Linked DNA regions of Caenorhabditis elegans. The protein of the gene in region 2 purifies or fractionates together with the protein of the main gene of each other region. This does not show direct contact. Each region holds a gene or a part of one and is shown on either strand. Other genes may lie near its edges.

Region 1 (15,886 bases), on a different chromosome or scaffold from region 2:
TCGGCAGTGAATAAATACTTACAAAAACGGGATCGATTGATAAATGATAAAAATGACAATTATAACACACGGTGGGAATAATAAATTAGTATGCAACAAATTTCAGCTTCACAAGCTACTCTGCAGTGTTCTCGGGGTTGACTGCAACGTGTGCTTCAACATTCTCATCACCACCTTCTTCTTCAATTGCTCCATCCTCTTCTTCTTCTTCACCCTCCGCTTCTTCTTCAACACCATCTTCTTCTTCTTCTCCCATATCTTCCTCTTCTTCATCCTCTCCTTCTTGCCCATCCGCACTTTCATCTTGATCAACCTTCAGTGAATCACTTATGTTCCGACGAGGAATCCTTTGTCCATTCTGAAAATTGTTCAAAAATCCAGTAGCCTCATAATGGTGTTTCTAATACCTCATCTACACCGCGCTCCTCATTCAGAAAGTCTTCGATATCGTCTTCTTCAACTTCCTGCATGTCGGGCATCACGTAGTACTGCAAAGGATTGACGTACAGATCGTCTTTGATCACTTCAGCAATCTCATCACTGTCTGGTAGTGCTGCGTACGTGAGCCATTCAAGAAACGTGTGAGCTGAATCTCCGTCTTCCGGCTTCTGGAAGAGTTACATTGCGAAAGTTTTAGAAAAAATTCGATTAAAACAATAGGGATTATAAAGATAAACTCACGAATGGCGGTTTCTTGTTCTCCTTCCACTCGATTTCGGTAATTTCGGTGCTCGGTGACTCAGATTGCAGATGATACGACTTTGTAATTACTTCGTTTGTGAAGTACTCATTCGGGTCAAATGTCATAATTATTTTGAATCCACTGCGAAGATCTTCAAATTCTTGCACTTCAAGATCTCGCAGAGCGGCTAACAAGTCCTCTTGTTCTTCCGGAATAGCAGTTGAAAGAAGATGATGATTGAGAAAAGCAGTCTGCCAGAAATTGTCGATTTTTGTTGTCAGCTTCTTTCTTTTTTCATAAATCGGAAGACGTTTCTGATTGAAAATCTGCTCGACTTTCAAAACTTCTTCGGCAGCGTTTTCACTCATCACATCTAGTTGGTGCTGAATGGCGTCTAGTTCGATTAGCTTTTCCTTCACGGGACCAGCTACTTCGGATCGGAGATTTGGGAACTCATCGGCATTTTTCATTCGCTTTGCAGCCGGCTCTTCGCTCATATTTTAACTGAAAAAATTGAAGATTAACGGCAAAGAGAGCTTGTTTAGTAGAACAACAAAAGGCAGGGCGAGTTTGTAAAGCAAGTGTTCAACAGAATAAGCGCAAACGCACTGAAAATGCGCAAATAGTGTTGACTGGCGCATATTTTGAATAGAGCCTAGACACTTTTGATTTAATCAAGTGATTGATCAAGCTTACCCACAATTAACAGTTTTATAAATATCGACAATTTATGACCTAGTCAAGAACGCGAAGCTTAAAATTTAAAAAAATAAATGTATTATTATCGGTTAAACGGTTGGGAAAAAACTAATTAACATGCATGCATATAAAGTCTTTAAAACCGTAATGTTCTCATATTGAGAACAAAGCTAACTTGAATTGCAATATTATTTTGCTTTTTCATGGTACGTACTTAGATAGTTTTCGTGTTGGAACATATAACCTGATTTTCAATAAATTTGAAAATTGAATCGATCAAAAAAATTTACTACATCCTGCAATGAGGATCAAGAAGGAAATTTCGGATAAAAATTTTAAATGAACAAAGAAACGAAAGAAAAATACGTACGGGCAGTATCGGAGCCATTGAGAAGAAAGAAAGATAGAAAAAAAGAATCACAATTATGATCCGTGGCAGGTGCAATTTATTTTGAGATTGGGGAAGGGATTAGTGAGACAGAAGGCAATCGGGAACTCGAGCGGTGAAAATTGGAATACATTCAATGATTCGATGAATTACAATATACATCACAAGATTCGATATTAATTTCGAGAATTTAAAATGGGAATGGGCGCTTTTGACGATTGGGCCAAGTTTCTATGGGACAAGAACACGTCGACTAAAACTTATTATATTCACAAATGCACGCATTATTAGTTAGTATGGGGGACACGAATATTGAAAGTGTTTAAAAATTTGACAAATGTAGAGAAGTTGTTCACCACAAATTGAGATGCTTGGTCATATTTTCGGCCAATTGATCGAATCCTGGCATTGGAGAGAATGGTCCGTTACATGACATCATTGGATCAGTTGCGACAGATTTCATCAGAAGAGATTGAGCAACAGCAGAATTTGCGAAATATGCAGCAGCGGCAGCTGCGGATGCTGCATTGAGTGACGAAGAACTGAGATCCTGAGAAGGCGTGGATCCAGCAGATGAATATCCAGAAACTCCTCCAGGAGTATTTTGCTTTCCGAGCATTCCGAACGAGCCAGCATTTGGAGCGGAACCCAAAACCATCGAATCGAGTGGACTAGCTGGCCGATGTGCCATATTCCAAGCGTCTAGAGCAAACATCGATGGATCCAATGGCCAGCGAGACGGTGGATAGGTCATCGCACCTAAAACAGAGGTCATTAATTGCAACTAGCTGCCAATTTTTACCTTCCGCGTCATGCAATTCCTTCGTTGGTAGCTCATATCTTGGACCACGAGTACTAACAGGAGTTGGTCCTAGTGGCAATTTAGCCGCTGGCTCATCTGGAGTTGATGGCCTGGCAAACATTTCTAAAGGATGCTGAATGGCAGAAAGCGGGGGAGCTGCAATGCGACCATTAGTCATGATGTGCTGCTCCATTTGATCACGAATGTCAGCCAATGCATGGCGTTGAGAAACCTGAAAATGTTTACAGTGAGCAAAAATACATGTTTTCTTCTGACTTCAAGAAGTTTATCAGCGCGAATGTATGCGTTTGGTCCATGATCGGGATGAATGAAAAGGCACCGTTTCCCGTATGGGCAGAGTCCTGTAGTCGTATATTTGTCACAGAGTTTCGTTTTATACTTATTGTTCTGCAGCGGCTCGACGCTAAAAATTGGAATTAACATAATTTGTTTGCTTCATTCTTACAATGTTGGACGAAGTTCCTCCTCTCCATGTGCAAACCGGCAGTTGTCTGCGAAAGAACAAGTCTTAGATTCGAGCCAAGCTTGGCAGATCACAGTCTTGTATGATTCTGGTTTCTGCATTCGGGCTAATCCGCGGCGTCTAGGATCAAACTGTTGAAATGGAGGTGCAACCTGGTTGTTCTGGGGAAAACTCTGAATCGCGCGAACTTGCATCGATTGAATATGTTGGTTGCTGAAATGTAGTAAATTGAAGATATTCAGGAAATTAGCCAACGCACAATGCAATATCTTCAAGCAACTGCTTTTTGATAGCAATCAAGTTAGCAGTTTGAGTAACCAAATCTCCAATCTGGGCATTCGGATTAGTTTGAGACAAGTCCTTAGCGTGATCGAGTGGTGAAACGGGCAAAGTTGGAACGCCAGCGAGGGAGCTCTCGAGATGATGCCTTTAATAACATAAAATTACTTTTTCATTTGAATTTTGTTAAACTCACTCATCGATCTTCTCGTTGTTTTCACCGTTAACGTTCATATTGATGCAGTTGAGTGGATGTGAATAGTGTAAGTAATCGGGTGCAGGGAATGCTTAACAATCAACACCGGAGATACTCGATTTCCGGAAGATGTTGCGAGCTGTAAGTTCTGAAAAAGAAAATCAAATGATCCTACTGAAAAACAAAAACACGTTACATAAAACAATACTTGAGTGCGAACAAAACAGATACGAATGGCATTTATGAGAAAATATCACATTTTGGCGCCGGTGCACAATAAAAAAGTTTAAAAAAAAGTTTTTAATATAAATATGTCAGAATTTCCGGCCGAAAAGTAATATTTGAAACAAGGAATACTCAAGAAAAGCCTGAAAAATGGTTCCTTCATATTACGCGGGGGCATAAACTACGGTCGCACTGTTTTCACGTGTGCGATTTAAAATGATGTGCGTCTTTTAGGAGTACTGTAGGCCAAAAGTTTTCACGCCTATAACTGCTTGTAGTGAACTGATATGTTATTATAATCAAACAATTTATGCACTAATTTAAGTTAAAAAAAAACATATTTATTTTTTACAATCAAAAAATTATAGCGACAAACCCGTGTGAAAAATCAGGAATCTTTAAAAAAAATGAATGGTTGAAAATATCAATTAGAAACTTCAAGTTCATCTTCGATTGAAAAGGTACAACCTTCGAACATCAATATACGTCCAAATATACGAATAGATGAAGAATATTTCAAATGCACCAAATACCAGCAATGCAACTCTGAAATTGATAAAATAGTATACCCTAGGTTTCCTTTTTTTTTCAAAATCCCACCTTAATAAAATAATATCAACAATTTTATAACTCCGATCTTGTCCATTAACCTCTTCTCTAATTTCATCAGGAACTGTGATTGTCGATCCGATTACCGCTCCTGTAATCTCTCTTTTTCCAATTAAAAACTGTCAAATTTGGTCGTCCGGTTCACAATCTCTCAATATTTGCGAAACTGATTAAAACCACACCGAAAAAAAAACTTCGCTCACCAGCATATGCAAAAAACAGAATCGTATTCAAAACCATATATGGTAGTAAAAATTTGGGTCTCGCACGGAAAACTGCCATAATAAACATTAAACTGAAGGTGAGGATCATGGTGATAAGTATGGAGCAGATTACTGAAAAATCCATATTTCTAAATAATTCAGATTAAATTTATTTAACTGTACCAATAAATTCAACATAATTCTTCGGTGTTTTTTGAATCAATCTTATTAATCCATAAACGTAAAATGCAAATAAGAAAATTGCATTGAAACTGATTCCAAATATTGCAACTGAAAACATATTTTTTAATATAAATTTTTCATCGACTCCCTTAACATTCTTGTTACCCTGTTTTTTATAAATAAATAATCCATCGAAAAAAATAGCCTTGTTATTTATTTTGTGATCAGTATTTTTAGGTTTGATAACACTTGTAAAACAAACAAAACAAAAATGTAAACAATTTTATAATGATTCTCATGTTATTTTTGTTTTCAATTTTTCTATTATTAAGAGATAAGCTTTAATGTGTCAAAAATCAAATAAAAAAGAGAGAAATAATGCCTGCCTGCCTTCACCTCGCGCGCCTTCTGTACACGCAAACGTTGTTTCTTTCATTTGTTAATTTAACTTTCATCAAATAAGATGATAAAATAAAGATAATTGTGTAAATTAACACTGTGAGAACAAAATAAGTACATAAGATATGAAAAAGTAGGCAGGCATAGGTAGGCGTGTGGGAACCTAGAAAATAATCCCACTTTCTCTCGAATTAATTAATAAAAACTTCTCAAACTAACTTTTATGAACACCAAAATATCCACAAAGCTTCGTTGGTTTAGGCGCTGTTGGCATTGAAAAATAATTTTGATCCGTTGATAATTTATCAGAAATTGTAGACATTGTGATGAAAGTGTTGGAAACTTCTGCAAATTTCAGGAATTGAATAAAAAAAATAAATAGGAGGCTACAAATCACTGTATTTGTTTCAATGATTATGATACGAACCTATTTAAGTGAATTTTTTTGAACTTTTGCGGAAAAGGGAAATGGTCTGATAATGCATATTTTTGTGGTGATAATTTTGAAGAAACTTTGATCGGTAACATTTTTTGCATAGATGAAAGTCGAAGAACAAGAACAATTCTCAATATAAATTTAAGTGGGAAATCTTTAAAGCACAGGAAACCTGGGAGCAAAAAAGTGAAGAAATGGCAATATATGCATATTTTGATAATTTCATGTATACACTATGATAGACAATTTAAATTTGAATTAGAAAAGTTCGTGACTATAGTTACTGACTTTTCTATACTGCGCTAAAGTTTCCAAGTGGACTCTCCACGATTTCGCTCTACTTTTCTGCTTCTTACTAATATAACTGATCAGAAAGTCTTTAAAAAATAATTCAAACTTGTATTCAAACTCTTTCTCGTTTTACAGATTTTTTTATAATTTTGAGACAATCAAAGGATAAAGACAAACCTTTCTTTTTAAGATCCCGTTTTGTTTTCATAATTTCAGATAGAATTGTTTACGAAAACAGGATGAAGATTATCTGAAAAATTACATTATATTCAAAAAAAGAAAATTAACTAAGTAAGACAAAGTATTTTAGTAACCAAGAAAAACTTTTTCACGAACAAAACAAATGGCAGCTGTCTGAGATAATCGGTGAAACAAAATCTCTCAAATATTGGCTAATCTTAAAATTACTACTGGAAAGTATGTCAAACTACTTTTTCCAAATGAAACCTCTTTCAGTCAAAAAAGGAGGAGCCACATGTCCATTTTTACCATTAAATGTTTGCGTATCGAAAACTTAATCGGCCCGAACCGAGACACTATGAGGTCAACATGTGATGATGAGAGAGAGAGAGTATGGATCAAGGTATTATATAGAAAAAATACTGAAAGAATGCGGGGAAAATGAGTCATGATAAATACTAAAATAAGTTAAATATCGTTTTGAAAATATCAAGAGTTCTAGAGGAATAAAGTAAATTGAAAAATTCATAGTATAGTTTTCAAAAGATAAATTCCTAACATTGAAAAAACTTAAATTTTTCAAAAATCCGAAATTTGATCTTTAATTTCAAAATACTTCGTAACAACCCATGCCTTTAATTAATAAAAGCTTGGCAGATGCGACATCTTAAATTTTTTTAAATTTTGCGTTTTTGCTTGAATTATTCGTTTTTGAAAGCAATACAATTTTAAAATGTTAAAAAAAATCATTAAAAGAACCCAAAAACGCATAACATTTTCCTGATAAAGTTTATTTTCAAAAAAAAATTATATAAACTTTTTCATTTTCTCGTAACTTTTTGAACTAATACCATTTGAACTCTTCATGATCTTCAAAAAGTCTTCACTCATTTTTTTTCTCATCTGTGCCGTCCCCAATTTTCCTGCTCTATTTATTTTCGTCAATCCCAAAATCAAATCAAACCAAAATCAATCAACGAGAGTACAAATAGATGGACAAGATGGTTACGGAATCGAAAAATGAGAGAAAATATATAAAAGAAATGCTCGGATATTGCGCATTTTTTTGTGGGAAAAATGAATTCTAATCACATGAAACTTGAGAAAATATGAAAAAGTATAAGAAGTATAAGAATTTTGAATGATATCACTTATTTATAAAGTTGTTGTTTCAAATGTGTATTTTCAATCAACTGTTAATCAAAAAATAATCAAAAATTACTAACTGATAAAATATTGATATTTCTAAAATGAATTGGTATAAATATATGATTCCAACGTTAACATTTGGATTATTGAAAATATGGGATAAATTGGCCTCTCAAGTAGTAAAATGTTTTTTTAAATTTAAAAAATGGTTGATTATTTCTTCATTCAAAAATAAAAATTACTGAAAGTAAAAGTTTCAAAAACCATAGCAACAAAAAATCAAGTCATGCAAATAATGAAAATATCAACGAAATTCTTTAATTTCCACTTGAAACAGTAAATTGAATAGAAATTTCTCTGAACATGTTTTATGATATTTAAGTGGCTAATTTTATAAAATGGATGTATCATGAAGCAGATTAAAAATATCATACCGAAATGATTGGCTTGCGAAAAAAGTGAGTTCCTGACCTATTTCGGTTTGAAAGGCATTTTCTTCGAAAAATGTTTGCTCTGGAGTGATTATCTTGCTCTGTTTACATATCAGTGTTCACCATAGTGAGAAAAATGAAATGAAGTGTATATTGGACATATTATAACGAAACTTTTGAATAGGTTTTTTCAGATAAAAAAAATGACAACCACTTAGTTTTCAGCTACATATCACAATTTTGGAAGTCGGCCAATTTTTGACAAATATTATATTCCAATTACGTTTGATTTTTTGGTGAACAGTTTAGGAATAAACCCTACAGTAAAATTGTTGACTTGTTATAAATTACACACAAAGTCCAATAATTTAGAAAATTTGATTGAATACAAAAATTTTGGTTGATTTTCAAGTATAAATAATTGAAACATAATTAGAATATTAAAAACACATTTTTAGCTGACACTCAAAATTATGATAAGTGAAGTTTGAGCTTACTTCGCCCAATAAATAATTCCAGCTAAAACAAAAAAGGCATCTTGTTTTCCACAGAAGTCAGAATGAAAAGCAATTCATCTCGAAACATTTTTGTTTGCTCAATCATATCTTCGTCATCATAAAAATTTTACAATGGGTGCGGAAAGGGAGCGGAGGTACATGATACATGCAGAATTGTGAGAAAACTAAACTATGATTATTTATCTTCAATGCTCCATGATGCTCTACTGCATCTCTGCCTCTTCGTGTACAAACAAACGACTCAATCTTTACTTTTTCAAATGGAAAACACTGTCTCGCAACTTCAAAATATTTTTTTTATGAATTGGACTTTTCATGGAAATATACAATTTAAATTTTTTGGGAATTTAATCATGTGTCAGTGTTGTAAAAGATGCCTGTTAAAAATACTCGTTTTCAAAAATCTTGTTTTTTTTCTAAAAAGCTGCTTGGAAGTTTTAAAAAGTTGAGTGACAAATCACGAATACTCCAAAGAAACACACAAAAAAAAACTGAACAAAAAAGAAACATCGAAATAAACATACGTAGTTTAATCCTTTTTATATAAACCGTCTCATGACCTCTTTCTAAGAGTTTGGAATGTTTTTTGCTTGAGGTAAAAAAAACTTAAATGTTACATAAAATTGAGGTCTAGGACAACACTCAAAATATAAAGTGCGAACTTTCACCTATGTGATTTTTTTTTCAATGTATCGTGCTCGATCAGATTAGTATGCAGAAAAAGGCAGAGGCAAAAATAGCCGAAAAGGTTGAAACCAAAATATGGGCGGGACCCTTTATTACTTTTCTGAAAACTTTCCGCTTTTTTTCATACAAGTTTTTTTTTCGTTTGGAACAAATGTGTTTCTTCAGATTGATACATATATTTTCAACATTAATTTTAGAAATAATAGATCCCGGCCATATCTCGGTTGAATTTTCGTTTCTGCGTACAACCTTCTTACTTCTCGGCACTTTTTTTCAGAATTTTCTTCGTATCCTTACCGGGTGAGTAGAACAAAAAACACGAGTATTTAGCTTTTGGAAGGGAATATCAGGAATGTTTTCTAGAATCGAATGGAATATAATAATATTATTTGTAATGTATATTTTGTAAGGAATTGACTTCTCAAATAGATGTGGCTTATCAGTAGAATTTAATGGGTTTCTAAAGTTCAACAAAATATGGTGGTGATCTAGATAAAACGACTTCCGCCCTCCAAAATAATATCACCTGAAAAAGGAACCGGAAATTAGAAAAAAAGTAGAATAGTAATTTTTTAATGCGGATATCTGAGTGAAACTGATATTTGATTCTGGATCGGCAAACTTTTCTGGTTCTTGTGTATTAAATAAAAATTTCATTCATTTGTTAAATTTTGTCAATTTTTATTTAGAAAAAGAAATGTTTCCTCATTAGGCTTTGAAATGATTATTTCCTCATTTTAAGACTAACTATAAGAATACTAAGACGTTTATATTTTTCATAACTTGACAATTTTGATTTTAAACTGCTTTCCGATCATACACAAGAACCGTTTTTTAATGCATTTATGCGAGGTTCAGTTTTCAAAAAGAAGGAAGTTATCATAAAGTTAAGAAATCTAAAAAAGAATAATACTTCATCTGTTTCTTATCGATAAACATGCCATTCACTGTTTTTCCATCTAATATTTGACAAAAATTTCAGCTTCAAACCCTGTTTTTTTGAGCCACACCCACACAAGGAAATTTAACAATTTGTGAGTAACCACATTGATGACATCGCCTACATGATTGTACTTGTGGCACTGACCAATGAAACTAAAAAGAATACAAAAAAGTCTGAAATATTTGAATGAGGAAATTGGAGTTGAACTGAACTATTTTGTATTTGTTTTTGAATCAAAAGTGAAGTGAGTGAACGATATTGTCACCCCCCAACCCTCAGTGAGATAAGTGGTTTTCCGAAGTGAATCCACTTATAGTGACCATTCACAGAGACACTAAATAAGCATCAATCATTTTGTATTGTAGAATAGTAGACGGTGATTTCATTTCACTGTTTATTTTAAAACAGACGTGAAATGATAATACCCAAATGGACTAATGAAAATGGTAATCTGCTCTTATCTGCTCTTATTAAGATCACTGGAAGTTGCGGACGAACTGCTGAAAGAAATAGTAAAAAGAAAGTTAAAAAAAACTAGTAAAACGAAAAGCATTTTCCAACTTACTATGCCATATGATCTTCTGGTGTAACATCCTATGACTCTCCAAAACAATGACGGTATGGTCTCTCTATTCAACAGAGATATTGGCAGCACCGACTGGAGTTGATTTCAGCATCTGCAATTTTGCCCCTGATAAGTTTGATAACCCAGTTTCACTACTTGAAACCCTTCTAGATTTCCACTGTCCACACAAAGGCAATGAGTCAATGAGAAAGAGGTAGGCGAATAGCGAGGGTAGGCAATGATTTTGGAGTCAGTGGGTATTTTCCTCAAAATTAAAAGCTATAGTTCTCTTGTTTACACGGTTTATTTCCAATCAATTCTCAATTAGAACGCTTTTTAAATTATATTACTGTAACAGAAACTGCGGGTCCTAGAACTGCGTAAGGTAAGCCATTTGAACTCCTCCCGTATATGTATTTCTGAAAAATAAATTTGACAAATTTGAAAAGTTAATTAAACAAACTCACAGTTGGGTACTCTGAGTATAGACCAATATCTGCGGCCGTAAACTTTTTGATAACAAGGAATCCATTCAAGATTTCATAATTAGAAGAATCAACTATGTTTCCGGCTTCATCAACAAATGATCCCTTGAATTTACCGTCAAAATGATAAATTTGATTTCCTCGGTTCATTTTCCTAATGAGAGACTTAGCGCCTTTTTAGAAATTCATTTCAACTCTCTCACCCATCTTAATAACATTTATTGGCTAAAACATTGGACTTAACCTAACCTTCACTTTCATTCCGAATAGAGATGCTTCAGAGCAGGTGAAATAAATGACAATTATAAAAAGAAACGTGACAATAATTTTGTTCATCGTCTGCAAAAAACACAATTTTGAAATAGTAGAGAAGTGTTTAAGGTTTCAAGATCTTCAAACAATAAATGGTGAAATTCTGAAGAAATCGATGATTTTTAAATGTTTGCAAATGTGAAACGTCAATGACTTCGTCACATCATAGCGATGAGTCAATTTTCAATTCAATTGTTCTCTGGTTTGGTGGTAGGTGGGACAATTCTAAATGCCTTAACTTAAAAAAACAAAAATATAATATAATAAAACATTTTTGGTATTGTTGCGAAAGTAGGGGAAAAAAGTAGCACTGGATAAATATTTCTATACAACTAGCCATGCCTTGATGCCAAATATCTATACAAAAAGTTTTAAAATTTCCTGATTACCGTATTTACTCTATTGGTATTGCACCCAATTGTTCAACATTCTCATTTGTCGTGGGTCCTACAAAAATTGTTAATTGACAAAATGTCTGCCATTTCTTTTTCTCTCGGTGCAATACTATTCAAGAAAATCGGCGTTTATTTATGTTCTCTATTTCTATTAGCCCTTGTCAAAGAAGTTTACAGATAACGTGCCATTGTGTCTACTGCAACTATCAAGTCACTTCGAATTGTTCGATCTATCAATCAGTTTCACACTTTTCTTTCAATGTTCCGCTCATCAATTCATCATCTACACTGTAATCATAAGTATCATTATGGGATATTTTGATAGGACCTTTGAACCCCTTACTGCAACAAAAAAGTTCTCTAACAGTGATTAATGATGTTCCAATCAAGTGCGAAATTCGGCACCTTTTCAATTTTTCAGTGATTTTGTGTGCTTCAATTTGAAACTATTTTGATTAGTTTCACTGATTAAACCGCACTTTTTCTCTTTGAAAAAACCGCTACTTGCAAGAATAATAGATGTCTCGAAGTGCCGACAAAAGAAAAATGATGATGATTCGCACTTTCCGACGTGTCTTCAGGTGTGTGACCAATTTGTCATGTTCCTTTGCCGCTATCAACAATATCTTTCACACCTATCCGATACACAAAAAGGTTCTGATTGGATAAGGAGACATTAAACAAATCAGAGTAATTTGTGAAAAACTTGTTATAGTTGTGAAATCTTCCAAAAAAAAAAGGTTCAACATCTAGCTGCAGAGAAGCGCACAGAGAATAGTATAGAAACGTTTCAAATAATTATTTCTAAAAGTTATGAGCTTCATTTTTATTGCTCTAAAAATAGGTAATCATGTATCAATAATGAAACCCGTTGAAAGCACAAAAAATACACTTCATTACCCGCTCCATTCCTTATACACCTTCACATTTCTGGCAATCCTGAACGATAATTAATAATTCTTACAATACACCTGATCATCATTTGTCACCTACTCGTCGTTTTCTTCATTCCGGCGGCAAATTACAAAGGGATTGCCGCCACGCTTCTTCTTCCCACTTCCTCTCATTTCCGATCCGTCTAACAGATATCATCATCAGGCCGTTCTTCTCATCTTCCAATGCTGCTTTACACGACTACCGTATCCTTGAACCTAAAAAACAAGAAAAGAGGCGGAGCGTAAAGGTCTAAACCGATGGGGGTCAAGAAACCGTATTACTTGACAACAAGGTGGATTCGACTTAATTCAACATTTTCTCACAATTTTATCATCATAATTCTGTCAAAAAATGATGTCGCCATCAATATTTCCACCGATCAACTTCCTTTTTCAAAACTCTGCTCTGCTCTCTAGCTTTGCTGCACAAAAAGCTTTGTCAAATGGTCATCCATCAGGTGAGATTTCTAGAATCATCTACAGTCTTAGTGTTTTTTTCAAACGATTTCCGGCTATAAGCGTTTAAAACTTAATTTCTAGGAATACAAAGATCGGTTTAGAACAAGAACATTTTATCGGCAAAACTGCACACTCAAATTGAAAATTTGACTCTCTTTTTCCCATGTTTTATATTCAAAAAAGTGTTTCAGGTTCGTCACTTGCTGCATTGGAAAAACTATCAAAAGCGTTCCGGCGACCGGATCTTCATATTGAAAAGCTTGCTTCGTCATGCATTGATAAGCAAAAGGATTTGAAAAGTTTGTTCAAGAACGTTATGCTTTACAAGATTATTTATTACAGTGACCAATGTGGTCCCATCACGAAATCGATATGGTCGGCCATACATCTCTGGGCGACCACTTCTAACTTGTGATAGGCAGAAAATTGTGGAATGTTATAAGAAGGGAATGAAGAAGATTCATATTGCTAAACAATTAGGGATCACTCACAGCTGTGTGAGTAAGGTTTTAAGAAGGTGAGAACCATTCGTTTTGTTGCTGTTAGTCTAATTCTGTGCCAGTTTTAAAACAACAAAATGTACATCCAGAAATGAGGATTCATTCTAAAGGTGAAACTTTTTCAAATTGTGTTTATGATTTTGGACAATTTTCATTACTTTCGCATTTAGTGCCTCATGTACGAAGAAAAATTAGTTTGTGCTCATGCGAAAGGCTTAGTTTCGTAGAGGAAATGGGAAATTTAGGACTGTTGGGAAAACTGCCGCAATTCTACATTTTCAAACTTGATGTTTCTTTAAAAAATGTTTGCAGGTTTCAAAAATAGTTTTCTGCTTCACTTATCCACCTAAAACTTTAACATATCTGGGCCATTCGTCCCCACGCCTGACAATCAATGTTCACCTACCTACACTACCTACAGTAATCCCGAGTCGGGATTCCCGACATCAATATGCTAACCACTCCATGTCCATACGGGCGCCCTTAAGGTGTCACTCGTCCTTCTCGTCCACCTTCCGCGCACACTTCCAAATTTACTACTAATCGCGCTAAATCAAATAGAAATGTGATGATTTATGCGGACTTTGATATGTTCCCTCATCCGGCCAGTTAAATCTTAAGATTATATCGCCGAACATTAAAAAAAACTGTAGATTTCTGAATTGGAGGTTTCAAGAAAATTATGTTGAAATAGCAAAACGATGGACATGGTGGGAAATGTTGGCTCTTTTGACGGGATATCAAGTGTAAAAAAATTATTATTCATCGCCTTTGCATTATGATACTGTTATGAGTATAAATATGTTTATTTAGGTACGCTGAAACTGGTGAAATAGTTGCAAAAGCATGCCGAACAGCTTCTTGTTCCTGTCCTGGATCTGCAGAAGAACATGATGCACGGTATTGCAAACATCTTCAGGATAACACTATTCGATTATTTTTCTCGATTGAAAAGTAAGTGGTTCTTTTTGTCGATTTATTAATATTATGATAACTAAAATTTTCTGAAAATTTACCAGTAATAAATGAAAAAAAAAACAAACCAAAATAGTCAAACTAATCGCATAAATCAATACAATTATTTTACAGCCTTTTTTTAATTTAGAATGGGGATAAAACATTTTTGAGATTTTTTCCATGATTCAAATTTGAAATTGTGCTTCTCGGAATCTGTTGAGGTTATTAGAGACAAACAAATTTTGATGGTCCACCATTAAAGTTTGAACAAATTTAACATAAATATAGTACGCATACTGGTTGGCAAGAAAACTCGTTACATCCTAGAATGCATCACGGATAGAACGATTCACAAGCTAATCCTCAATCATAAAATAGGAAGACCATACTCTATGTCTTAAGTGAGTTTACAACTTCCAATGCCTCACTCTTTTTATTGCCTGGATATTTTGCGAGACAATGAACCTACTAGACTGCACAACGGATTAAAAAAAAAAATACCGTTCATGGCATTCAACATTACTTATTTATTAATATATTTATTTAAATATTAATTTCTGTGGGATTTTCAGCCTTCTTCGGAATGAGTCAACATCCTCACGTATCATCTATTTCTCAAAGCCGCCATCATATTCAACACTTGAAATTTGAATTATCAACTTTCAAATGCCCAATGACGTTCACTTTGGAAATAAGTCAGAGATTTTAAGTTAATAATATTGTCATATACTTGGAAATGGATTATCAAAGTTTTAATATTACCACTATTGTTTTATCATCGTATGATTTCTCGCAAAATATGTGATTGATTTCTTTGTCCGGTTATCGTTTTTTTCCTGGTTGTCGGAGTTTTACATAAAATTATTTAAAAATATTCTGTTTTTCCAAAGACAGAGAGTCAAACAGTAACACTGATATTTTCAAACGAAAGTCTTAGATCTAAATTTTCATATCTATAGACTGAAATAGTTGAAAATATTTGAAAAAAGGTGAAAAAAAGTGTACAAAAAGTGGGAAGCACAGAAAACAGTGAATCCACTATTTTTTGGGCTTCCCACCTTCCGTCCACTCTTTGCCACTTTCCTACCATCTCTTTGCCACCTTTCTACCACCTTTTTCCCGCCTAGTTATCACCATTTTTCTAATTCCGGCAAAAAATGGACAAAGGAGGCAGTGATAGATGAAACCAGGCTACACTAGACAAAAGCCCATATTTAGATTAGGCCACCAAAAAAAAATCACTTCAAACTATTTATTCACAGAACTTTTCCAATCATCATAAAGATCAATTCTTTTTCTTCTTCTTATCAATTCCATCATCCGATTGTGTGGTATCAGTTGTCTCATTTGGTGAACCCCCAATCATTTCACAGAACTCATTTTTCGGAGTCTCACAAACTATCTTCTTCTTCTTCTCTGAAAATTCATGTTTTTCTTTTAATCTAAAATTTTAAACTTACTCAAAGCCTCTTCAAACTCATCGACACTGTTCAC
Region 2 (17,593 bases):
TTGTTTTAAATTGTTATATTTCAAATTTCCAAATTTCAAGCCAACTTACATAAGAAAGCCCAGATTCCCGGAGCTCATCAGAAGCCGTAGCACATCCAATTCCAAAAATGAATCCCAAACAATAATTGCTACTTCTGGCAAATAATGAGAGCAACAACTGATCGAATACTGCATACACTTTTGTTAGTCTGCATTTAATTTTTTAAAAATTAGTACACAAATTAGTGAAGCTTACGGTACTGGCTCCAGAGTAAGCATGGGAGCTGGTGGAAGTTCTTGACTGTATGCTCTTACAAATGAGAATATGATTGAAGATCCAAAAACTGTGTAGGCAAATAGCTGAAGTACGGTTGTTTAAAGAGCTTGATTTTAAAATCTGGGTACCTGAGTCAACAATGGATACTTGGAAGACAGAAAGATGACAAAAATGAGAATAGCATAATACTGTGCTTCCATGGAAATAACATATCCAATATCAACACAAGTGTCAGTGACATTGAACCAATTATTAATGAAAAGAATATTCTTCCACCAACCAGACCCACAACGATTCACTGTATCAGTATGAATCCACATGGGACCCGATGAGACTCCAGGGAAGATTACATACATGAATAGGACACACACGATGTATGCAGGCCAGAATCTGGGATTTTAAATGAATATTTTGGTTGGAAAATGTCAGGGAAACGTTGCTAGATGTAATTTTTATACATTTTCAAGCCTTAAAAAATTATGTCTAGGCTTAGGTTGTCTTTTTAAAATTTTATCTTGACATAACTTTTTTAAAAGCATTTTTCTGGCGAGTATGAGCTAGTCCCGGTAAAACGCCTAATAAAAACACATCAAAATTTTGGAACTACATTGTATGAAGTATTCCAAAAATATCAAACCTGAATAATCTCATGAGAATATAATCGAATGCAGAACGAAGAGTCAATATATTTCCAAACAACAAATATGTTGTGTAGAATGCTGAAAGTGCAAGAAGACCGTCGATTTGATACGAGTAATTATTGACAATATGCATTGGAAATGATGATACTCCTTCGAATGCGAATGCCACGTTTTCTGGAAATATTCAATATCTGAGTACGGTAAAAGTTGCATGTAAGTAGGCAATACTTTTTTGTTCATAACAATTATATTTTACAGTTTCTAAATCAATCTACGCTTGGCTGGAATTTTTGCTTCGGTTTTTTTAAAAAGAAAATTTACGATTTTTGAAAAAAAAAAGGTTGTTTGAGTTTCTATAATTATTTCAAATATATTGATTACTGAAATAATTGAAATCTCACCAATATAAGGAAGCATGAAATTGTATACCATTCCACTGACAATTGTGAAAAAGAGCAAAAACTCCAATCCGTGTACAACATGAAGATTCGGAGACTCTCTTCTCGTCGAAAACGTTCTTTTTGCATTATCAGGAATTGAGAAACATGAGAGAATGCTGTCATTTGAAGATGTTTGAAATGTGGCAACTGCCTGTGGAACAATCCAAACCATCAGGATTATTAATAGCAAAACAGTGACAAATGACCAGCGATTTTGAGATTCGCATTCAACTTTCAGATTATACGGGAGATAGACTGCAATATTTATGGAATTGTTTTCAAAATTAAGTTCAGCTTATAGTTAGTTTTTTCTTTTTGTTCGGGACAAAGAAATCATTCAACAAAAAAAGAACTTGACTAACTCGATGAAACCGTTGTCAAATCAGCAACAGAACAAGCGGATGGGAAGCAGACACCAAGAATAATCGATAACGGATCAGTTTGAGGGCATCCTGATTCGACTCCAGCGTCTGGAACTTCCATTTCAATACGACAATATTGACCGTCAAATGATCCATCGCTGTAAAAAAAGTTTCAAAAACGAACAAAAGTTTGATTTGGCTATGAAAGTCATAAATTCAAAATACTTTTCGGAAATTCGCCAAACAAATTTCTTTAACTTTGAAAATAATTATAGGCATAATTTGGAAAATGTAAATTTTGTCGAGAGCTCGAAAAATTTTTGAAATTAAAACTTAAGGATTTCACTAACCTTGCAAGTGCGGCACAAAGTTCATAATCTCCGAGCCAATAGTAATTTCCATCAGTGATACCTGCAGCAGGTTTTCCCAGTGAATCAAACCCTGGAAATTATTTTAATTCAATATTTTTATATTATGAAAGTTTCATACACTTGAGTACCCATCCGTTATTAGCTTTTTGATAAGCACATTTTGAGCATTGTTCTTGCTCACTCAACGATTTATTGGCAATTGATTGACATCCTCCGAAGGTGTCTGAAACTCATAGGAATGTAAATAGACATTCGATTTATCTCGAAGCAAAAGAAACAGAGATGTTTCCTAAAAAGTCAAAAAAATCCTGCCTCATCCCCGCCTGCCTACGAGCCTGCCTGCCTCCTATTAAATTATATAATACCGAACAAATTTTAACAGCGCCTGTCTGTCTACCTACAAAATGGCTTACTTGTGCCTACAAACATGCCCAATGCCAATGTACATATTATTTCAGGTAGGCTTGAAGACGTGCCTGCCTGCCTAAAATTTCTGTTAGATTACTAACCACTCCGTTATCCACAGATTTCAAAAGCTTATTGGAAAATCTTTGGATACAAAAAAAAACCCTTTTTTACCCTACCTGTCCATCTATCCGCTGAGCAGAAAATTTTTTCAAATTGCTTTTTACACGAATCCATCACTGGTAATTCCTTCGAAGCATTGCAAAACTTTGGCATTTTCTCCAAATCCAAATTCTTTCCACCTAGTTTTGGAAGCTTGTACTGATCCAATGGTCTTGGTCGTGGCGGAGTACGAAAATGGCACAATGTGCAAGAAAGAGCCAGTTGGCACAGTGCCAAGGTGATGAGGAACGTCCTCATCTCTGAAAAACACAAAAAAATCTATTGAAAAGAATTAAAGAAAATGTTTCAATTAAAATGGCAACCACTTGACACTTTCACTTGTGAATGTGTTTCAGTGTTCCCAATAAAAATGAGAGAAAAAAAGACGGAGAAATGACAAATTTGATAAGAATCTCTGTTCTTTTTTATTTTCTTTTTTTCGATTAATGATTAGTGTTCGGAAATTGCACGTCGTTTGTTCATTAGCGGTAGAGGCGACACAGGGCGCCTCTTCCAGCCCTCTTAGCGCCCTTATGTGGAATTTCTAATGAAAATAGTTTTCAAATGAGAAATTTGAAGATTTTAATAGGCAAAGAATAGATTTTAATCAAAAATAATTTTAGATATACACCTAGAACTCCTAGGAAATCTTCGAAATTTCTAAAACAACGAAATTCAAATACTAGACTATAATTTGTTTTATAATGTGTGAAATTGAAGGCAACGTTGTTCTTGTTCTTGAATGAGAAGAAAGTTTATTGACTGATATAATTTGATAAGAATTTGATTGGCATTCAAGTGATTTTTTTCAAAATAATGGAGAGGAATAAGACAGATTTGCAAAGTGGAATTTTTGGAGAAAAAGGTTCAGATCGTTGTAATATAATATACAGTAGCCGGTCTCGACACGATCGAAAGTTGTAAAGAAGAGTGTGCGCTTTCAAGAAAGATTTCAAACTTTTGTTGCTGCGGGATATTTATAGTTTTTTCATAGTTTTTTGATAAAAAATAATTTTAATTGATTTATTCATTTAAAACTTGAATAGGACAAAAACACGCGTATTTCAATTCAAAAAAAATCGTGAAACAACTATGAAAAATCGAAAAAAAAATTCTGCAGCAATAAGAGTTTAAAATTACAGTAGTCTTTAAAGGCGCATGCCTTTTTGTAACCGTATTTTTGGTACGCTTGGGGGTCATAAATGCAGAGTGTGTAATTGTGATAAATCAATCAAAAACTGAAAAACAATTTCCAAAACATTGTTATGAATCATTCTTTTTTTTTCAGCGAAAAAAAATCAATGTTTCCTTTCTCAGTCCTAGAACAGCTTGACATTCATTGATTAAAAATTATATAAAAAAGCGAAAATCGTCTGTAAAAGTGTCATTCTGCACATTGCGCCGAATTAGAATAGAATGATAGTGTATAACATTCAAATGTCTAACTGTATGCGTATCCGAATCTCTGCCACAATTGTTATCATTACAGATTGTGACAGTGTTAAAGTGCATGAAACGATAATTTGGAGACAAATTGAATAGGAACTTGAGGGATTAAAAGTTAAAGAAGTTAACTTTTTGCAGAAGGAAGAAATCAATAAAAAAGCAAAATGACAAAATATTTGTTTCGGGAACAGTTCTTTCCTCTTTTACCATACCAAATGAGGGAACAAGAGGTCATTCATGACCAAGTCACTGTTTTTAACTGATGAGACGCAGACATTTACATCCTCCGTGTTAATGGGATTGCCAATTGACCTATCGCAATAATTAGTACATGTGTTAACTCTTCTTTCGGTGATATTTATGTGATAATGAAAGAACTCCGCCACTTTTCAATTTAATTCTCTCAATGTGGCATAGAAACAGAAAAATATTAAACTCAATTTTTTTTAAAGAATTCACGTAAAACAATTTTTTAAAACATTCACGTTTACGGTAAAAAGTTGTATTTAAAAACAATCGATTTCACTTTTTCTGTCATTCCCAAGTTTGTTCGGATAATCGATAAACCAGATCATCAAAGCATATCATGGATCCATCAAGTGAAAACAATTCGCCAATGGTATCTCCAAACGATGATAAAATTGTGAAAATTACTGTAAGCAGTGTGATGCAAGGAGTTAAACAGGTATGTATTCGCGAAATTTGAGTGAAAAGAATCAGCTCTTTTTATAGATTGTGGTGGAAATGAAAGATAAAGAAACAGTTAGCATTCTCAAAAATCGAATTGAACAAGAAACCGAGGTTTTGACCAATCGACAGGTTTTGCTTTTCAAAGGAATGGAGCTCAAGGATAATAACAAAACAATGACTGATTGTGGAATTAATTCTGATGCAAAAATCACGATGAATGTTAAAATGAGCACAGGAATTGTTACGTAAGTGAACCCAAAAAAGGACACAAAAAATGCTGATAATAATGTCTGAATTTCAGCAATCCTACTACAACTGACATTTTACTCATGATGCCACCAATTTTCCCAACTAACCAAGACCAACTGAGAAAGGAGATCAAAGGAATGCATACGGTACATCGTAAACCAAAGAAGATGAGTGGCATAGATGCAAATGCAAGTCTTTGGACACCGGAGAAGCAAATGGAAAATGAGTTCACTAGAAATCGAATGAAAACTTTGCTTCGCCGTAAGAAACACGCACCAATCTTGTCTGGAACACCGGTTGATTCTGAAATCGGATCTGCGCAAACGTGAGTTTTTGGAATGTTTCTCTGAAATACCGTGAAACGCTTGAATATTCAAAAAGCAGTTTTATACAAAGTAATTCCAGATTCTCGCCGGTTGCAACTCCTCCCGGAGAGTTGTCTTCGCCGTCTACAGTTTCATCTCATGTCAGCTCTGGAAGTGAACCGGAAAGTGATGCCGAGGTTGTTACCGAAAAAGAACTCAAGGTAATATGCCAGTTAAGCAGCAGACATTTGGCGGCATTATCCAGAAGGTGTGCGCCTTTAACATGTACAGTAACCCGCTCAAGTTATTTTACTATTTTCAAACACTCAAATGTGTGAAAGTATTTTTTAAATTTTCGGGAGGACTAATCAAGTTAGAAATTGCATATTTTCCCAAAAATAACGAGGAGTGGGTTACTGTACTTTTTAAAGACGCGCACTTATTTTTTTCTGCTTCGATTAAAAATTTCTGAAAAGTTTATTAGTGGCAAGAGTTTTGCGTGAAAAATATGAAATCTACGAAGATTTATTTTATTATATTACAGCTCTTCTTCGATCCACCTGAAACAATTGAGGAACACAAACAATGCCGCCGTTCGATGGTTCTTGCTCCGAGCAGCGAAGAAGAATTGCTTGAGAACTTGAAAAAATTCGAAGCGGAGAGAAAGACCAAGTGTAATGTAAGTGTTTCTATTGTATTTGAAATCAAAATAAAATCAAATTTCAGACTTGTTTCAAGAAGCTCTCCGCAGCTCAACAGACCATGCATTGCAAGTGTCTTAGAATCTTCTGTGATCGTCATCGTCATCCAAAGAATCATACATGTGTGATTGACTACAAGCAGGATGGACGGAACAAATTGAAGAAGAATAACTCGAAAGTTGGAGATGGCGGATGGAGAAAAGCCAAGTTTGAATCATAGGAAAAGAAGAATTAGGAATTAGAAGAACTCGGTTTTTACAAAATGAAAGAAATATGATTTTGAATGAATTAGTTTACTCGATTTTAAACATGAATCAATTCCACTAAAGACTTTATCTTGAAAATAACATTTGAATCATGGTTTCAGCAAAAACTTTCGACCACGGCAGGACTCGAACCTGCAATCCCCAGATTCGAAGTCTGGTGCCTTATCCATTAGGCCACGCGGCCACGAGAGCAGCACACCTCGAAAGGATATCAAATAGCAGGCACCACACTCCAACAGTCAACGCTCTCTCGGTGTTGTCTCTTAATGGTTAAGCAATTCGGCGTCTTGTAAATTTATAACTTATTTCTGGAATTTTTTATAAACTAGACTCCGAGATTCCTTGCATCAAATGCGACTCTTGGTTCTGGCACGACAGAAACTTTTCAACTACCGTACCTGTGAATACGGTAGGCTTATTAGTTTTTGCAACTTTCACAGGTTTTTCTTTCTTTTCTTGAAATAGTTTTAAATTCAAAAATATTTAACAACTAGGAAACGAAGAAACATCAATTATATTTAAATAGAAACCTAGACATATGTATTCAAACCCAGAATTCGGAAAAGGTTTAGTCGAGTCTTGCTAGTTCACTTTCCTTCTGTATTCGCCATGTATTGCAAAACCAAAAATTTAAAATCTTCTTCAATTATTCATTTTATCCAAATCCAAATCCATCTTATAGAACACATCACCTCTCATTTCTAAAATAAAAACGAAAAATGTGTCTACAAAAAACTGTTTGGAATGGTGAACTGCTTATGAAAAACGTGGCACAACATGGGAGGTGCACAAAAGGAGACAAAAAATAATGAGAACAAGAGTGGACGAGATCCAACAAAATGTGGACACCAAACTTGTACAAGTACAAAAACGTTTTAGGGACAATCTGATGTAAAATTGAGTGGGAGATGGAATTGAAAATGAGTGTACCCTTATAAAACTTTTCGCATTTTCGAGAGATCCTCTACGCATCCGACGGGATGCAAGAAATTCTCTACGAAGGTGTTTATACAAACTTTCCGAAGGGATTTGGGTAGATGTGAGGGGAAGAACAAGTGAAAAACCAGCTTACAAGAAAAGGGGAGGAAGAGAGAACAGTGTGTTCTAAAAGGCGGTAGGTTGGGGGAAAAGAAGTGAAATCATTGAGAATGGAGTTCTGATGAACTAAAAATGCAAATCATTCTGAATTCACTGAAGTTCGCTTTACAATCTATCGAGGTTCACTCGAGCAGCGGGGACCAATATATAAACACGTCGAAGATGCGTCAATATAACAAAACTTGGAACATAATTAGAAAAGTAAAAATTAAAAAAAAGGAAACAAACTTATTATGGGGCATTACGGAAACTATCAAGGGATCACCAACAAAGGTTGTGGGGGGACACCCCGCTGTTTTTTTCGATTTCAGTGAAATGCCGAACAACAAAAAACCGAAGAAAATAGCGACGGTAAAGCGAAATTTTGATGGGACACGAGGGAGAAAAGGACCAGAAAGAGATGGGATTATATGAACAAGAGAGAAGAAAAAAATAATACGAATACATGACTATGTGTACCCGCTTGGTGGATGGTAAGCGATAAACATGGTTGAATATATGTGAAGGTAGGAAAAACAAAAAAAAAGTTGCTATTATGAACTAGGGAATTAAACCCATATTTCTACTTTGGAACAGCTGTTAACTGTTTCTCGAGATCTTCCAGAGACATTGGACGGACCGACGATGGAATTCGATCTCCGGACCCTGAAAAAGTTAAATTAGCAAAAAATTAGAAAATTTTAGCACGAACCAGTGAATTGAGATCCCTGAACTCCAACCGATGCCAGCAGCTTCTCAAGCGGAGTTTGAATTGGCCCGACCTGCAAATTGGATATACTAATAGGCAAACGTTTCGATTTAAGCACCTGTGACAGCTCGGATGGAACCACAGGTTGGTGTTGTTGCTGATTATGACTGGGTCCCTGTCTCTCTTGCATGTTAGCCATCTAAAATTGAAAATATAATTTTGTATTGATTTAAAAAACGAGTACCTGGGCTTGCTGTTGTTGCATTTGAGCTATCTTTGCCATCAACATGTGCTGTTGTTGAGCACGGGACATCATCATCTTGAGGTGCTGCATTTGAGCTTGCTGGTGTTGAGCCATCAGCATTTGAACATTTGGTGGAAGTTGCTGCTGTGGATGTTGCTGTTGTCCGTTAACAACGCCGTTTCCGCGTGCCCATCCGACTCCAGAATTCATTGCCTGCACCATATTGGCATAGTTCTGCTGCATGTGCAATTTCTTCAGTTGGTTCATGGCATCAGATTGATTATGAGCGTCGGAAGTCTCTTGGTTGCTCTCTGGCGGGCTCTGACTCGTCTTTTCTTTCTTCTGATCAGCATTTGAGGAGCTCTTCTGCAATTGCCGCTGCACAGACGCAGGTATCATAGCAGGAGTGCGACCTTTGTGTTGATGATGCTGTTGTTGTTGCTGATGCTGCTGGATGTTCTGATGCTGTTGTTGAAGACTAACGAAAGTGAGAGTCTGAGACTGTAGGAAAGCCTTGTTACGCATGGATGCCATACGAAGTTGCTCATCTGAAAAATAATTCAATCATGAAATGTATTCAAAAATGCTTAACATACGAAGCTGTGGTGGAAGCTGCTGCCCATTGTTTGCACGAATTGCAGCATTGACTGCTTCTTGAAGTTGATTCTCGACATAGGCATTCAAAATCACTGGATTCTGTGCGAAGCTTGCAAGAAGGCTTGGATCTGCGATAATTTGCATTCCAGGATGAACCATAGGGTGATGCAAATGTTGTTGATGCTGTGGACCTCCATTTGGTGGTGTTGGTTGTCTATGATGATGTATGTGCTGACCAGACTCTGCTTGCTGTTTGGCGAATTTTTGCAGATGTTGCAGAAGTTGTGCTTGTTGTGATGGATCTTGCAATGGACTGACTTTTGAAGGTTCCTTTGACTCCATGCCTTTCTCCAAATCTTCCAACCGCATTCCTCCTTTTATATCACCAGCTCCAGAAGATGAAGCGTTGTTATCACCACCACTATGACCGAAAAGTCTTGCAAGCATTGGATTAGCCACGTTTTCATCGTTTCCGCCTCCAACTGACGAAAGCATAGCGTCCAATTCAGGGGACTTGTTCTTCTTTGCGAAGAACCGACTGAGACGACTAGTTCCTCCAGCAGTTTCCTCACTCTTGTGCGCCCAAGCCATATCGTCGCCATCGATCTTTCTTGATGTTTTTTGAATGTCAAGACATCCCAGAAGAGCCGCGAGTTCCTGATCCGTAGCCGGAAGAGCTCCTCCTCCCGAAGAAGAATAAGCAATTGCTGGATCGTCAATAGGTTCAGAAGTCTTGAGACCAGTTGATGACGGACGGGATCCAACGCACTCCACTGGCTCCGGAGCTTTCACAGCTTCTTTCTCCTTCTTTTCCTTTGGATTCTTTTTGTTCTTCACTTCTGAAAAGAATAACATTATAAAATAAATAGGAGACATTAGGAATACTTTTTGGTTCATCAAATCCGCGCAACTCAATCATATCGTCCATTGTAGTGGGACCGTCAGCCCATTCTGGCAGCTTCTCACTTCCGCTCAAGCTCGTAAGGCGTTCCTCTCTGAATTAGAAATATCAGCATTATTTTTAGCTACTACTCAATACTAACCTCCGTGGTGCGAATTTTGCCCCTCGTGTCGTATCCTTTTTCCATTCGGCTCCACGAGTACCACGTTCAAGCTGGTTACCTTTCTGCTGAAAAATGTTTGGTAAAACATGAAACATTATATTTTGAAACTGCGTACGAAGGATGGTTTGAAGTCATTTCCTCTCGAAGCAAATTTATCGGCACCACCGGTACTTCCGTTTCTCCAGTTCTTTCCATGCCCTCCCAATCTTTCGTACTCTCCTGAAAAATAAAGTTTATGATCAAACTCGTATTTCCAAGCTGATTACCGTCACGTCCTTTGTCGTCTGTTGGTGCTTTGCAGCCACTGCTAAATGCTCTCCGTTGTGGAGACAAACCCGTATTTTCATCAGCGCCAGCGCATAACGAATCAATTTTTTTCGACATCGGACGATTTTTAATTCCTTCGATTTCCCAACGGTGTTCAAGCCATTTCAAAGGAGAAAACTTACCATCTTCGCTGAAATTGTATTTTATGCAATTATATTTTGCGTACTGTACCACTAACCCATTGAAATCTTCTGAGAGGTTTTCAGGCCTCGTCATGCTTGCTTTGGTAGTTCTCAGTTCCATCATTCGTTCTCTGGTGTACGCTTTGAACGGTACCGTCGGAAGTGTGCCCCCTCCGAGAAGGGTTGAGACCATTGGGTGTAGGCCTTCGTCGTCTAGATGACTAGTCATATTTACACTGAAAAATCGAATGTCTATGATTAGTTATTCAACAATTAGCATTAAAATCCATCGCAGTCAGAAAAGAAGAGAATGCCAGCTGCGCAAGAACAACGTATCGCAATCGAGTTTATATCGATTTTTTGTTATGTCTAACTAAAAAAACGAAGCATAGCGATTTACCGCGCAGAAACTTATTTTGGCGACCAAAATTGATAAGAAGCAACTGAAAACCCATTAGAGCTGGAAAATACATAAAAGTTCTGGCGCTGCGCACATCTTCAAAAATTTAGCGCCAAAATTTGAATGGATTTGGTTTTGGCCTATTAATTTCCGATTAACGAGAGGTATGACAACTATTATAGCTGAAATGGCAGCTGAAAATGAGACGAATTGCATGCTTTAATTTTATTTTCGCATAATCTGGAAAGACGTCTGAAATAAGCGTAAGAACGAATGAAAACGGGTCTGTTTGAGAGAAGATGTCTCTCACGCGCTGTGACTACGGTAATACGCATTGTGGAGCGTCATGCGGAGTGTATGGCATACACTTGCGACGCAACTCGAGAATTGCAAATTTTAGGACTTTTCCGTGCCTTCTTTTTCCGTTTCCCTCCTATTTTTTCAGCAATTTTTGAAAAAAAATCAATTTTTCAAACAGTTATCCGTTTATTCAAGTGTTTATTAATATCTTATTGCAAACTCATGTGTCGAGTGGAAAATTCCGTCGAATTTTTAGCTTATACTCTCAATTTGTACTGTTAAATTATGTATTCCTATTTTCAGACACAGCTTGGCATCAATCCGCTTCAATCATGGCGGTCGGAAAGAACAATAACAAGATGGGAAAGAAGGGAGGTAAGAAGAAGGCCGTGGATCCATTCTCCCGCAAGGAATGGTACGACATCAAGGCCCCAAACATGTTCAACACCCGCCAGGTAACGTTTTATTTTGTTTTATAATTCTATAAATGCTATTTTCAGGTTGGAAAGACCCTTATCAACAGAACCCAAGGAACTAAGATCGCTTCCGAAGGACTTAAGGGACGTGTCTTCGAGGTTTCACTCGGAGACTTGAACAACTCTGAGGCCGACTTCAGAAAGTTCAAGCTCATCGCTGAAGATGTCCAGGGAAAGAACGTTCTCACCAACTTCCACGCTATGTCGATGACCCACGATAAGTTGTGCTCCATCGTCAAGAAGTGGCATACTCTCATCGAGGCCAACACCGCCGTCAAGACCACTGATGGATACACTCTCCGTGTCTTCGTTATCGCCTTCACCAAGAAGTCCGTCAACCAAGTCAAGAAGACTTCCTACACCAAGACATCCAAGATCCGCAAGATCCGTTCCGAGATGATCGGATGCATCGAAAAGGAGGTATGTAGCAAAAAATAACTAATGAAAGAAAACAAATTTTTTATTGCAGGTCACCGGATGCGACCTTAAGGAGGTTGTCAGCAAGCTCATCCCAGATTCCATCGGAAAAGATATTGAGAAGACCTGCTCCAAGCTCTACCCACTCCAAGAAGTCTACATCCGTAAGGTCAAGATCATCAAGAGACCAAAGGTTGATCTTGGACGTCTTCACGACTTGCACGGAGACTCCATCACCGTTGGAGCCGACGGTGAGAAGGTTGATCGCCCAGACGACTACGAGCCACCAGTCCAACAAGAAGTTTAAGTCTTATAATTTCATTGTTATGTCGCATTGCGATAAATGTTAAAATTAAAAAACTTCAAAAGTAACATACATCATATATATCTGAAAAATACAACTCAATTTTGTTAACGAAATATTTATGAGATCTAAACCCAACAAGCATGATTGGTGTGGACATACGGGATGGGATTGAGAGTGTCAAGCTGGCGCACGGTAGAACAAGATGATGGAAGATTCAGAGAAAAGAATTAGAAAATTGTTTTATTTGGAGTTCCAGTAAAGCGAGGGTAAAGTAGATCGTTTTTATCCAAAAGGATTGCAGATTGCGAAAATGTCAGTGAATTCACATCCCGTCTCACAGCACATATTCATTGTCCGTCCCAAAAGGCTGCCACCGCCGTCGTTGTAGTTTTCTGAAACACTCCTGCGTCGACGGCGCATTGGGCAAATCAAGTTGAAAGCGTCAAGGAATGAGGCACCACCTGTAAAATAACGACTTTAGACATTGAATTCCTAGAAATTAGAGTTATTTTTTGAATCAAAAAGCTAACTTCTTTCTATAATTCCTAAAATGAATTACCTGGTGGGCATAATTTCAGCGAACCGTGTTTGGCACGTGGTGGTCGGATAGTGTCCCGAGTGATTGGAGCCGGTCTAGAAAACAGCCCGAATGCGGCTACAGCAGCCATCAAAGACAGTAAAAGGAGTACCCCTCTGGTCGAGAACATTTGGATCACAGATACTCGCTTATGCCAACCGCGAGAAGCGAGTAACCGATTCTGAAATTAAAGATTTTTATTAAATTTTAGTTTTTAGAATTATAAGTAATTGAGAATTGTAGCATAACTAGATCCAGAAAAGTATTGTACGTATTTAAAGAATTTTGCAAAATGGGCGGAGTTTGAACACAGATGACAGCGGGAAATTGAATTTTTTAGACTTGAGCTTTTCGAACACTTAAAGCTGTTGTTGTTTCTCACATGAAATTCTTCTCCCACAATGCAAAGAGAAGCGTTAATTTCCGGGTTGGCGGATCCATTTTTAAAATGTCTTAATCGAAAACTTGTGAACGTGAACGAATTTTTGGATGAAAAAAGAAAAAAAAGAAAGGAGAGAGAGAGAATTTTCAAAGCAAAAAAATACAACTTTTTCGTCCGTCTTCAGTGTTTTTAAACACAGAATAGAGAGTTGATTAGATGCCGGATGACCAACACGTCATCTCTACAATTTTTTTTTCAAATCTCTTTTTAACCTAGTTTTTGATGTTAAAAAGCGAAGAAAAATAATGAAAATTTCAGATGTTTCAGGTTCAGAAGAAACTTTACTGCCGGATATTAACAGTTATTTTATTAATTTTCATAGTTTTTCCTATTATGGAGACGTAGAAAATTTCATTTTTTTAAATGGAGATGCAAGCGCGCTCCAATACCAAAGTAAAGTTGTTCGTGATTTTTTGTTATTTTCTTTCCGAAATTGATGAAATAAATTAAAATGAATTGTAAAAATTATTTCGGCGTAAAATCATTGAAAACAGAGGAAAGTATAAGAAAAATACGAAAAATGTATGACAATTAACAAAATTTTGAATTCATGGCTTTGTCGCCAAATACCTAACGAGACCCAGCTGTTAGAGGCGGAGCGTTTTGATTTGGCGTTAGAGCGCATTTGCATATTGTGTTCAAAATGCATTTTTAATGTGAATTTTGTGTTTCTACGATACCTAAATTGTGAACTACTAGAGAAAAAAGGAGGCGATTTACAAAATTTTTTCTGAAAATTCCGTAGAATTTTCTGAAGAAAAGCACTAAGAAATCCTTGAAATAAAAAAAAACGCAAGGACGTCATGATTTCCGAAGAGACCAAATAATAATAATTTCCCATGAGTTGCTTGTTTTTGCGTCCTGTTCATTAATGATTCTTGCGATCTCGATTGGTGCGGAAGTTTCATGGGAACATAGATCAAATGTTTTCAAATGTTCAAATAATTCCAGTGCACATTTTACACAATAATTTTGGAAAAGTTCTAAACTTTTTGAAAAATTGTAAAACAAGAAAACATAAAAGTAAAGTGAAAACTGGTGGGAAACTTGCATCTCGTTTATTATATACAAGCACTGTTTCTATGGCTTTTGTCGTAAAAGTTTTCAAAAGTTTTTCTGACAACTTTATGTGAATTTAGTAGTCGTTGGCAACATGGACACGTGGATTTATACTTTTTTTGTAAGCATGGAAGTTTTGTCACATAAGTGGGAAAATTTTTCAGAACTGCAGTAATTCGTCAATTACCAAAAGGTTACCAATGGAAATGAAAGCACAGAGATCGAAGTAATCCAAAAAATAATTTCACGAAATCGTACATTTTTGACATTTTCCGAAAATCCCTAGACGTCGAAAATCTCAAGAAAATCTTTGGGATCTTTATTTAAATTTTTCAGATTAAAAAAAATGTACCACGGGCTTTCAAACTCTATAATTTATAAAACGGAAAAATGTCCGCCCCTGTGTCTACAGGGTGGGCCAAAAGTATGGTAACACATGAAGCGCTCTTTTACATGAGCTTTTTGCGCGACGGCCACGTCATACGTACATTCTTCTATCGAATACTGATAGCTGAATAAATTTCCTTCAATTTGACTCAAAATTTGTAATGTTTCCCAATAAGGTGCGATCTTTATCACCTCGACAATTTGGCGAACCCTTTCGAAAAAACGGTGATTTGGCACGCGGCACTTCCCACACAAACACACCTCCCACGCACGCCAATAATTTTGAGATGTATGATTTTTATGTTAAATTTAAAGTTAAAGAAGTGAAGAAGCGTTTTTAATTGTTTTTGTAGCATATAAAAATTTTCTCTGTCGACACTGGCGCCTAGCAAGAACCTTTGAATATTTCATGAATTCAACTTTGCGAAATTGACTCAGTTTTTTTGGTTTCGCAAGGCGTAACGACCCACAAAATCATCCGAGCTCAATTTTCTAAAAAACTTCTGGAAAGTCAGGTCAAAACGTCTCGAAAAATACTAAAATGAATTTTTCTGCATACTGCTACTCGCCGCTCACATCCATCTTTCTGGCGACTATGACATTCAAGACTTAACCTACTGCCGCAGTCCATGACAGAAATACCGTGATAGAAATTATTTGGATTTTTGTTTTTAAAGAATCTCTAGACCAAGAGCATTCTTTGAACTATAAAAACTTGTAAGACACTTGATGGATTCCTCGAGAAAAATGTAGAAATCTCGCAGAATGCCGACTTGCGTGCCATAAAGGTCGTGATCTCAAAAGTTCTGAAGGCCTGCAGCGATGCGGATGGGAATATTTTGAAAATTCAAAACGTTCATCTGGTCAGTATTTTATGGAGAACAAAACTTGTACAAATTGATGTAATAACTCTCTCCACTAGTAAAGTTATAGAGCTGCAAACGTGTTACCATACTTTTGGCCCACCCTGTATTTACGCAGCTCGTGTACTCTCTGAGAAGAAGTTGTAATTTAAATTTTGATAGGATTTTACAGTTTTCTTAATAAAGTTTTTGATTTTTAACATTTTATATACTGCTTCAGAGAAAGTTCTATATATATTTTTCGGAAAACTACTGGAAAAATATTCCTGTTGAAACATTTTTGGTATTTTTAAAATTTTAAATGTATCGATTTGCACCGAAAGCCGAGAATCAAAATACAATTTTAATATTAAATACAAAAATCGCTAAGAAAAATGCTTCAAAGTGAAGAATTTTAGTAAAAAACTGAATACCCTGTGAAAAATAAATACACACTTCTCCTCGGGGAGTACACTAGCTCCGTAAATCGACACAGGGCCGAACGTATGACGTCATGCAAGTTTTCAATAAAATGTAGTGTATAGATTTGCGTTATAGTGTTTGCACAGTTCAATGGAGCGCCCTTTCTTGACAGAAAATATTTGAAATTCATTTTTCAAAATTGAAACTGAGTCATCAGAACAATGCGGAAAGAAAATGAGACTAATAGCCACTTACGACGTGTTCCCAGTCAAAAGAAAAATGTGAAAACAAGAAGAAAACTGGGTAGGCGGAGTAGGAGAAGGAAATATTCAATTTTTTGTTATACTTGTGCAAAGTGGACGTCCGGAGAAGGAAAATGTAATCGAAAAGTTTCGTTTTCTTGGCAAAATACAATTTTTATTGTTGTTGTTCCACATCAATTTTTCTCATCATATGGTACAACTTTTTCAAATTGAGGAGGATATGACATCACTTGGAAAAAGTTCAATTCGAGCATCTGACGGCACAAAAATTGTTTTTTTTTACTGAAAAAAATTTGGCAAAGATAAACTAGAATCGATCTGAAGTAAACATTTTTTCGAGAAATGTATAGAAATTTCATATGTTTGAAAAATATTTAGAATACAACTTACAGAAAAAACATATTTTGGCAGGCTAAAAACATTTCAAAAAATTATTTCAGAAGTTTTACTATGATATGCTGATATTTTAAACCATGGAAATATGTTCAAGTAATGTGCACAGTGATCATAATAGATGCCTAGAGAAGTTTACAGTTTATTTCAAATAGATCTTGCGACTATTTGTAGTTTTCCGAACATTTTTTTATTATTTTCAATAAAGGAGCGAAAACTTAGTTTTCACTTATCATAATTCTGGAAGTCGACCAAAAAAATGCTCTACGATTTTTTTTTAATTGATTACGTTTCCATTGTTTGTATTCAAAAACTGTAGGGGTTCGAACCTCTAGATTTCATTCAAAAAATCACTTTTTGTAAAATTTGGCAGTTTACCAAAATTGACTGAAAATTTTTAAAAATCTAAATATTTTTGCTCCGCATTAAAAAACAACGAACTCTCCAAAAAATCCAAAATTGTATCATAAACTTTTTCCTCGCAGCGATACTGAATAAATATTTTTGCGTTTGTGTTAAAAGTACAAAGTTACGATTTTTGGTTAAGTTCTTGGAAAATTTATTGTTTGATTTAGATTTGATTATACTATTTTCTCTTTTAAAAGAAAATTATGCTTCCTGGTATTAATCTAACTTTTATACTTTTAGAGAACTGGACTTTTTGGACAAAACAATTTTATTTTCCAAAAAAAAAAAAGATTCTGAGTAAATATAATTTTTGGTGATCTTTTTTGTTGCAAAATACAAAAAATTACGTCATATTCAAAAATTCCGGGATAAATAGAAATATGAGCTAATGTGGGAACATAACTCAGTTTGAAATGTAGTCTTGCAGATTGTGGTTGTGCAAATTTTAAAATATGACGTCATATC

What was found.
Region 1: the proteins of ifet-1 (region 2) and oma-1 purify together in Caenorhabditis elegans (affinity purification with western blotting; 2 studies listed by BioGRID). This does not show direct contact.

Annotation. Positions count from the first base shown.
Region 1 is NC_003282.8:8,876,768-8,892,653, reverse strand, and holds oma-1 (CCCH-type zinc finger protein oma-1), read right to left. Parts: upstream 3,679-15,886; 5' UTR 3,569-3,678; coding exon 3,531-3,568; intron 3,483-3,530; coding exon 3,315-3,482; intron 3,269-3,314; coding exon 3,038-3,268; intron 2,996-3,037; coding exon 2,848-2,995; intron 2,804-2,847; coding exon 2,572-2,803; intron 2,529-2,571; coding exon 2,122-2,528; 3' UTR 1,655-2,121; downstream 1-1,654. Other genes in the region: spr-2 (Suppressor of presenilin-2), read right to left, coding at 116-358, 408-608, 682-1,179; C09G9.5 (MARVEL domain-containing protein), read right to left, coding at 4,199-4,301, 4,356-4,455, 4,568-4,699, 4,751-4,858, 5,369-5,494, 6,054-6,084; C09G9.8 (TransThyretin-Related family domain), read right to left, coding at 10,691-10,768, 10,817-10,939, 11,084-11,170; npax-4 (Paired domain-containing protein), read left to right, coding at 12,829-12,934, 13,127-13,234, 13,278-13,452, 14,249-14,389, 14,965-15,043; hdl-2 (Histidine Decarboxyase Like), read right to left, coding at 15,678-15,808, 15,853-15,886. UniProt on the Caenorhabditis elegans protein: Zinc-finger RNA-binding protein that binds to 5'-UA[AU]-3' motifs in the 3'-UTR of maternal mRNAs to suppress translation in oocytes and embryos.
Region 2 is NC_003281.10:4,464,481-4,482,073, forward strand, and holds ifet-1 (Translational repressor ifet-1), read right to left. Parts: upstream 10,671-17,593; 5' UTR 10,664-10,670; coding exon 10,491-10,663; intron 10,443-10,490; coding exon 10,252-10,442; intron 10,205-10,251; coding exon 10,101-10,204; intron 10,051-10,100; coding exon 9,965-10,050; intron 9,917-9,964; coding exon 9,807-9,916; intron 9,761-9,806; coding exon 8,921-9,760; intron 8,873-8,920; coding exon 8,325-8,872; intron 8,280-8,324; coding exon 8,199-8,279; intron 8,154-8,198; coding exon 8,084-8,153; intron 8,038-8,083; coding exon 7,955-8,037; 3' UTR 6,923-7,954; downstream 1-6,922. Other genes in the region: ndg-4 (Nose resistant-to-fluoxetine protein N-terminal domain-containing protein), read right to left, coding at 50-188, 236-339, 385-646, 894-1,071, 1,299-1,592, 1,700-1,857, 2,050-2,140, 2,189-2,293 and 1 more; mstr-2 (Ubiquitin-like domain-containing protein), read left to right, coding at 4,670-4,768, 4,816-5,018, 5,075-5,347, 5,428-5,548, 5,872-6,006, 6,054-6,248; rps-3A (Small ribosomal subunit protein eS1), read left to right, coding at 11,467-11,589, 11,635-12,030, 12,080-12,334; ins-17 (Insulin-like peptide 17), read right to left, coding at 12,617-12,795, 12,894-13,041. UniProt on the Caenorhabditis elegans protein: Involved in translational repression of multiple mRNAs in the distal gonad. Recruited to the 3' untranslated region (UTR) of zif-1 by oma-1 and is required for translational repression of zif-1.